Ovis aries: one gene and its partner. The protein of the gene in region 1 purifies or fractionates together with the protein of each later gene. This does not show direct contact. Links are inferred from orthologs where the notes say so. Each region holds a gene or a part of one and is shown in the gene's direction. Other genes may lie near its edges. The genes, in order: IBTK and RPP25L.

Region 1 (4,249 bases):
AAACATAGCTTATTTTCAAAATCACTTTAATGTTTACATTATAAATTAGTTTTTGTTACCTGTCAAAGAAGGGCACCTAGAATAAGGGGCGAAGAGACAAAACAGAGCTAGTTATTCTCTTCACTAACCAGCTGGGTGTCTTTAGGCTTCCACAAGGCAGGCTCCTGAATGAGTTCAGCTGAATGGGCCGTCCCAAAGAAGACATTTAGTCCAACTCTGTCGTTTTACAGATGAGAGAGATTAAATGGCTTGTATAACTGACCACGTGGCAGAGCCGCACAGCTACCTCCTGACTTCGAGTTGTTTGTTCTGAGTCACCCAGCCCTCCCCGAACAAACACTGACCGGGCCCTACAGTATTAGGCATTCCCAGGCAGGGTGTTTCTTTTTCGCTACCCTAGTATCGATTATTGGCTGCTTGCTTTTCCTCCCTCATTTTTCACGCGACTGTTTTAAAAAACGGCCCTTCCGTGCGGAGTTAAAGGGCCGCAAAAAGGATAGAGCCAGCCTGGCGTCAGGCAGAGTGACCGGCGGGCGCCGGGTCGGCGGCTGGACCCGCACAGCCATGATCTAAGAAGTCCCTGACGCCTTCTGACCCAGGGAGTGACCCCCCGCCCCCGGATCATCTGGGTGTGGGAGGCGCGATGCTGCCTCTCTGCCAGACCGCGCCCTGAGCTTTTCAGTGACCCCACTGGTAGGGCGTCGGGGAGGAAACTCAGGTGCCGGGTGCCTACGCCTTTGGTTTCTGTTGCGTGATGACCAAGGGATCCGTCCAGGTTCCCCAAGTTCAGTCTCTCCACCAGGGTTTATCGTGAGCTGCCAAGTCTCCGGCTGTGGGGGCGAACAGGATTTCTCCTTGGGCGACAGCTGACGCGAGGCGGACATTTCCACCACCCCCGTTGGTTTAAGAGTCCCCGACCGCGGCCTTCCCCAACCCCGCCGTCCCCCTCTGCACACCCCCACCCGCCAGCGCTGGCAGTCCCAAGGCCGGCGGGGTCAAGTTCCTTTAGGGCGCCAGGGCAAGGCCACAGTTTCGGTGCTGCCACGCGAGGCCTTCTGAGCAGACACTAGCCAATCCTCAAGAGGCATACAAGAGCCCCAACCAATCAGCGCCCGTCTTATTCCTAGGTCCCGCCCGCGCCGGCCTTTCCTCCCGGACCCACCTCCCACCCCCCTTCCAGGCGCCTGTAGACGCGGCTGTAGCTGCAGCCGCCTTCAGAGCTGACCCGGGCCTGGGGACCGGCTTCCACTGGCGCCCTTCGCTTTCTCCTGCTGCTTTCACTGAGGATGAGTCCCTGCGCTGCCGTGCGCCCACCCCGCGGAGACCACTGGCGTATTTTCATCTAGCGACTGGTGAGGGAGGCTTCGGCCGCGCCCGGCCGTATGGAGCCGGGCAGAGGCGACGGGACGGTGTGATCTTCCCGCAGGGTGCGGGGGACAGCGGGCAGGGGACTCGGCGGCGCCGAGGCCGCCGGGCTCCGCGCGAGGCGGCGCGAGGCCGGCCGTGTGGCCCGGGTCCCAGCGGCCACCTCCCCGCCTCCTCCCCGAGCTAATGAATGGTGTGTGCGGGCAGCGCGCTACTTAGCGGTTCTCCTGCCACGCCTTCCAGCGACGTCGCGCTGCTCGTTTCTGGTGGTTGTCTCCTGTCACTGTCCCTCGAGCGTGAATGTGAAGCCATTCCTCGAGGCGCCCGTATCCCTCAGCCCCTTCGTCGCGTCACAGAAGTTTTGGTTCACTCTGGGGATGCTAACGATGAAGTGCAGAGTGAAGCGACTGTTCTGTGAAAGGGACCCGTTCTTTTCTTGGGGGATGGAGGAGACAGGATAGAGGCCTTCTGTTCTTGTATCATGTTGCGGATTTCTAAAAGCAAAAATAAAGTTTTAGTTCAGCAGCGAAATAAGTAACCCAGGATTTCCGTGAATCCGTATTTCCAGCGTAGGTAATAAAACGTAAAGGGTGTTCACCAGACAGGTCAGGAAGTAGAAATTGATGTGACACCTCCCCCCCCCCCCTGCGGGCCCCCCCCCCCATGCATGGAAGGTAGGGAGTTTTAAAGTCGAAATTTATCAGAAATGATAAAAGAACCAGTGTTTCTATGCCCGTGATGTCCAAATTCATATCCTGCCATAGATCCTTGATCTTTTCACTGCCCCCCCCCACCTTTTTTAACTTTTTAATTTTTATTTATTTGGCTGCACTGGTCTTAGTTGGGGCATCTGGGATCTACCTCCCTGACCAGTGATGAAACCTGGACTCCCTGCACTGGGAGCCCAGCATCCTAGCCACTGGACTACTAGGGAAGTCCCTGCCCTTTCTAATTTGAATTCCTTGATTTTTATGGATTTTAGAAACTGATACAGGGCAGAAAGAGCTGCTTTCTAAAAAGAATTATAGTATAGATCCTTGCAGAAAGTACAGATATTTAGTCAAAGCAGCTTATTTCAAGGAATTTTAAAAAGTGGCTCTTCTGTTATTTAAAAAAATTTTTTAAAAACTTGTGTCCATGGCTCTCAGTATGCTAAATTGTACATTATGCTTCAAGACCATAAAGTTCAATAGACCATATTACATAAGGAGCTAAGTGTTACTTGGTTAATTTTTATAAATGATTTCAAAGTTAGCTTATTATTATTATTTTTAATCTTTTGGTCATGTCCTGTGTCATGTGGGATCTTAGTTCCCCAACTAGGACCAGGGATAAAACCTGTACCCCTTGCAGTGGAGCACAGAATCTTAACCACTGGAGGGACCTATTATTATCATTAATAGGGTGGTAATTCTTTGCCATCTCCAGAGATGTGCTTGCCCCCTTAAATTTGGGGAATTGTTCAATTGTGAAACTGGGTTTTGTGCTAATACAGTGTTGAATTTTTTCTCTTGTACCCAGAGAATAATTGAGAAAACATTAGAATGAAATACAGTATTGATAAAGGTAAATTATTTGCTAAAGTAGTAAGTCTTGATGTTTTAAAATTAGGTGAAATATTTTCAGGGCTTACAGAAGGAATTTAAAATTTTAAATATTCTTTGATTATAAGTCACTATAATTTGTAGCTTTGTAACAGTTAACATAGATACAAGTCTTTAGGGAGGATATTTTGATTTTAGAGAGCTCTTCAAAAAAAATCCTACTGGTTGAATACATATTATAATTTTGTGGGAAATATAGGTTAGTATGGCATTCCCTTCCCACCCTTCAGGAACTTAAAATCTTTGTAGGCAAGGTCTCCACTCATAAGGCAAGTTGTTATCATTTTACAGATGAAGAAATTTGGATTAGGGAGATTAAGCTACTTGAACAGGGTTTTAGATGGTAGGAATCCAATTTTTTTTTTTTTTTCCCAAGTGAAACATGTATTTATTAGGCAGAAAAGAGTTGTGCCCTCATGGTAGTTTGAATTACTTTTTAGGCCTTCCGGGTTTCATTTTGCCAGTCATTTTGATTTGCCTGCTTCTGAGTCTGTATTTAGTATAGCTTAGAAACTTCCCATGTGTGCCTGCTCATCTCTTAGCCAAGATGGATTCTAGTGCAGAGGCTTATGGGTAGTTGACATCACTTACTGTGAGGTGATGCCTCCTCCCTTTTTGACCTCTAAGGAGCCTTTCATGTGTAGACCGCAAGGTCGCCTTAACTTCAAGAATGAGGAATAAGCGGTCTTTTATTTCTTATCTGGGAAGGGCCCAGACTCTTCCATTGTCCTGCTTTTATGGAGTTTCTGGTATTTATGGAGTTTCTGTCCACAGGGGAGAAATTGTTCAGCTCAATTCAGTCGCTCAGTCATGTCCGACTCTGCGACCCCATGAACCACAGCCTGCTAGGCCTCCCTGTCTATCACCAACTCCTGGAGTTCACCCAAACCCATGTCCATTGAGTCGGTGATGCCATCCAAACCATCTTATCCTTTGTTGTCCCCTTCTCCTCCTGCCCTCAATCTTTCCCAGCATCAGGGTCTTTTCAAATGAGTCAGCTCTTCGCATCAGGTGGCCAAAGTATTGGAGTTTCAGCTTCAGCATCAGTCCTTCCAATGAACACCCAGGACTCATCTCTTTAGGATGGACTGGTTGGATCTCCTTGCAGTCCAAGGGACTCTCAAGTGTCTTCTCCAACACCAAAGTTCAAAAGCATCAATTCTTCGGCACTCAGCTTTCTTTATAGTCCAACTCTCATATCCATACATGACCACTGGAAAAACCATAGCCTTGACTAAATGGACCTTTATTGACGAAGTAATGTCTGCCCCAAAGCCCCC
Region 2 (4,310 bases), on another chromosome or scaffold:
ACCAGCTATACTTATCCTAGTCTAGCTTTCTGGGAGATATAGAGCTCTCAGGATGAATGCTCTCATTTGCTTGATGTGAGTGGAACATTTGGTTTTATATCTATTTATCCCACATTTACCAAGTACACTCTAAATGTCAGATGCCATACCAGGTGGGGAGGTCACAGGTAGGGTCCACCTGATCCCTGCCCTGAACAGGATAGCAGGGGAAACAGTCATGGAAAAGGGGAGGGAACCATGTGGCACAAGGGTTCTTTGGGGGCACAGAAGAAAAGGATGTGGCAGGTAGCTCTGGAGAGTGATATGCAGGGTCTTTGAGAACCAAGGGAGCAGCATGTGCAAAGGAGAGGGGAGCCTCTATGTTGCTCTCCTGATGCTATAAGAGAAGGGGAGCCTAAAAGAGGATGCAGAGGGCTTTTGGGCTGGGGCGGGGCGGGGCGGTGCTGTGGCTGGAAAGGAGGGAGAGTTGGCATATTAGCAAAGAAACCGATGGCACCTCACTCCACCAAGTGTTTGCTGTCCCCTTGTGGTCTCCGGGACTGCTGCGGCTCCAGGCCCCTTTACGTCGACCTGCCCGCCACCGTACCGGCGCGGTCTCATTGGCATCTCAAATCCAACAAGTCTGAAACTGAGCCATCCTAGGCTCTTCCCTCCATCCGAAGAGTCGCCAAACCCACCTCGTAGTATCTTCCAACTTAATTTCCTTTTCCCCATTCCCAGTGTTGTTTCTCTGGCTCATTCTTTCAACAAATGCTTTATCAAATATTCGAGCACGTATAGGCAGGGCAACTTACGAAGCACCGCGGACATGCCCCTGGGACGTGCGGCCAGGAGTCACCAGAGGGAGGCCCGAGAGCTGCCCACACGAACAAGTCTGACTTGCGCCTTGATGAAAGCCCCCTGTGGGTCGCCAGTGCCCACAGGGTGAGGCTGAAGTTCAGAACTCGGTGATCTAGGCTCTCGCCCCCGCAGCGGCCACATCACCCGGCACCTCTAGCTCCGGTCCAAAGAGAAACCCGCCACTCTGCCTCTGCTACTGCGGTGTGCTCAGCGGGTAACGCCTGCCCTGAATCTTCTAAGGGCCAAATCCTCCGCATCCTTCCGACGCGGACTTCGGACGCGGGACTCCTCTGCTGGCCGCTCCTCTCCCCCGCAGCGCTCTCTCCGCTCGCAAAGGAATGCTCCTTGCCTGGGGCAGAACAGCAAAGACACCCTGCGTGCAGCGAATCCTCGCGTCCGGGGCCAGCTCACTCCCTGGCGTCCGGAACCTCTCGGTTTGCGAACCCGGCCCCTCAGGCCCCGCCCCGTCCGGCGTGCGCGGCCCCGCGACCTCGGCGCGCTTTCGGCCCGCGCCATCTTGGCTTCAGATCGAGCGTAGGGAGTGCGCGGCCGCGGCGGTGAGAGCCGGAGCCCTGCGGGGCAGGGGCGCCTAGAGGTGCGAGGAGGAGAGGGAAGGCCGGGTGCTGGGCCTCTGCGGTGGCCCGTGGCGGTGGGCACCACGGAGCCCGGCCTCTCGTGGCCCCGACGCCAGGGGTGGCCCGAGCAGTCGTTGGCGTCAAGCCTCTGCTTCCCAGTGTCTGAGGGACCCTCGGTTGAGGGGATCGACCCTGGAATCTCTGGATGAGAGAGGGGTGCCCGACCCTGTCCTCGGGGTCCAGGAGTTGGGGAGAGGATCGTTTCTGTCTTTGAGGAGCTTTTGGATGAAGGCTCATGGCTCCGTTTGGTGGAGCATGGGGTGTGGGGGGCGGGGAGGGGGGAGCTTGGCCCTGACCTCTGGGAGCACGAAGTGAGGCGCCTTTGCCCTGGCGCCCCGTGGAGAGCCCAGGGTGAGGAGCACTCAGCCTTGTGCTTAGGGAGTCTCGGGTGAGGGCCTGGATCCAGTCCCCAGGAGCCCCAGATGAGAAAGGTTCATTCCCAGTGCCAGGGAGCTAGAGATGGAGAGGCTTGGCCGGTGTTCAGGGTCGGTGGAGGGTTATGGCCCTGTCCAGAGGACTGGGGTACATGCCCCCCTAGGGGGAGGCAGGCATGACTCCTTGTCCTGGGGATGAGGGGTTTAAAGTCCCATTTCTGGGAAATCTGGGCGGAGCAGCACCCTCGGGTGGGGGTCGCCTGGGACACAGTGCCCACCATCCTTTGACTTCCCTGCAGCAGGGCAGCAAGGCGGACACGACAGCAGGCTGGATGGAGCACTACCGGAAAGCTGGCTCTGTGGAACTCCCCGCACCTTCCCCGATGCCCCAGCTGCCTCCTGATACCCTGGAGATGCGGGTCCGAGCTGGCAGCAAGATCCGCAACCTCTTGGGCTTGGCGCTGGAGCGGCTGGAGGGCGGCAGCGCTCGCCACGTGGTATTCTCAGGCTCTGGCCGCGCTGCAGGCAAGGCTGTCAGCTGTGCTGAGATTGTCAAACGGCGGGTACCAGGCTTGTACCAGCTTACCAAGCTGCGCTTCCTGCAGACCGAGGACAGCTGGGTGCCTACCTCACCTGACACGGGCCTGGATCCCCTCACGGTCCGCAGCCATGTGCCTGCAGTGTGGGTGCTGCTGAGTCGAGACCCCCTGGACCCCAATGAGTATGGCTACCAGCCCCCTGGGGCACCCCCTGACCTCGGGCCCACACCTGCCTCCAGCTGTGGCCCTCAGCCTAGAAGAAGGGCTCGAGATACCCGGTTCTGAGGACCTGTGGGCAAGCTGTTGTCTAGACTGTCTAGGATGGCTGTACCTTTGAGAAGCCTCTAACTGCTCAAGGTCTCCAACAAAACTTGAGTTTAGGAAAGTGGGCCTCCCTGTCCTGCTTCCCCTTCCCTCTGGCTCCTGGAAAGGGACTCTCGTGAAGAGTGACAGGTGTGGAGTCTCTGCCGGGTTCTAGATTGCTTAAGAAGCAACATCCTAAGTCAATGTGTAGGTCAACTTGCCACAGCATAAATAAAATAAAATATTATGTAGAGAAAGAAGAAGGGTTACTCTGCCTTTTACATACAGTGCCTCTCATCTGTCTTCTGACAGAGATCCAAGGAGTGAGTTAGGAAATAAAGGCTCTGTCTGTCTGATGAACCTCTGCTTGGCCTGCTGTGTGGAAGTAGGGTTAAGGGAGTGGGAGTCCCTGCCCTTGACCGCCAGGAGCTCCCAGTCTGGAGACAGGAAAAGTAGGTTCAGATGGGTGCTGGGAGGATCTGGACTGAAGATGCAGCCTCAAGCAGTAACCTGACTGTCTAGATCCCTGGGTAGCTATCTGCTTCCTGTTTGGGGCTGGTTGAAGGACTCTGCATTTTTCTCCACCTGCAGCATAGAGACATACCTCATTTTGTTGCACGCAGATACTACATTTCTTACAGAAGAAGTGAAGTTCTGTGGCAGACCTGCACTGAACAAGTCTGGCAACACCATTTTTCCAACAGTGTTCATTTCGTGTCTCTGTCACATTTTGGTAATTCTCAAAATATCTCAAACTTTAATTATTATATTTGTTATAGTGATCTATGATGTTACTACTGTAACTTAGTGAAAACTCAAATGATGGTTAGCATTTTTTAGCAATAAAATATTTTAAAATTAAGGTATATATGTAGATTGTTTTTTAGCTATAATTCTGTCACATTCATAATAGACTACAATATAGGGCTTCCCTGGTGGCTAGAGGTTGAAACCTCTGCCTCCAATGTGGGAAACCCGCGTTCAATCCCTGGGTCGGGAAGATCCCCTAGAGAAGGAAATGGTAACCCACTCCAGTATTCTTGCCTGGAGAATCCCATGGACAGAGAAGCCTGGTAGGCTACAGTCCACGGGGTCGCAAAGAGTCAGACACGACTGAGCGACTTCACTTCACTTCTTAGAGTAAACATAACTTTTTTAAGCACTGGGGAACCAATAAACTTCTGTGACTTGCACTATAGAGATCTTCCTTTTATTGAGGTGGTCTGGGACTGCACCCAAATGTCTCTGTGAAGTATGCCTATATTACAATATAGTGGTTGAGATCATGGCCTTGGTCACCAAGCTGTCTGGATTTGAATCCTGGGTCTGCCACTTATTAGGTAGTTACTGCTCTGCGCTTTAGTGTTCTCATCATCCATAGAACAAGATGTAGTGCTTGCCTTGAAGGATTGTTATGAGGATTAAATGTAGAAATATACATATGATTCTTAGATATCACCTGAGCCTGTATACCCTCAGCTCTCCATATCTGTGGATGTAGAACGCGTGGATACAAACAGCTGATTGTACTCCACCTTTTTATTTAAGGGACTTGAGTATTTTGGTGAAAAAAGAAATTCACAGGGGCTCCTAGAGACAGTTCCCTGAGGATACTGAGG

Evidence for each region.
Region 2: the proteins of IBTK (region 1) and RPP25L purify together in Homo sapiens (co-immunoprecipitation; 3 studies listed by BioGRID and IntAct, with this or other methods). This does not show direct contact. The link is inferred for Ovis aries from reciprocal best matches to the Homo sapiens genes IBTK and RPP25L.

What each region holds. Positions count from the first base shown.
Region 1 is NC_056061.1:9,383,862-9,388,110, reverse strand, and holds the start of IBTK (inhibitor of Bruton tyrosine kinase), read left to right. Parts: upstream 1-1,178; 5' UTR 1,179-1,352; intron 1,353-4,249. UniProt on the Homo sapiens protein: Acts as an inhibitor of BTK tyrosine kinase activity, thereby playing a role in B-cell development. Down-regulates BTK kinase activity, leading to interference with BTK-mediated calcium mobilization and NF-kappa-B-driven transcription.
Region 2 is NC_056055.1:36,953,964-36,958,273, forward strand, and holds RPP25L (ribonuclease P protein subunit p25-like protein), read left to right. Parts: upstream 1-1,354; 5' UTR 1,355-1,397; exon of another isoform or gene 1,398-1,435; intron 1,436-2,148; exon of another isoform or gene 2,149-2,151; 5' UTR 2,152-2,181; coding exon 2,182-2,673; 3' UTR 2,674-3,553; downstream 3,554-4,310. UniProt on the Homo sapiens protein: May be a component of ribonuclease P or MRP.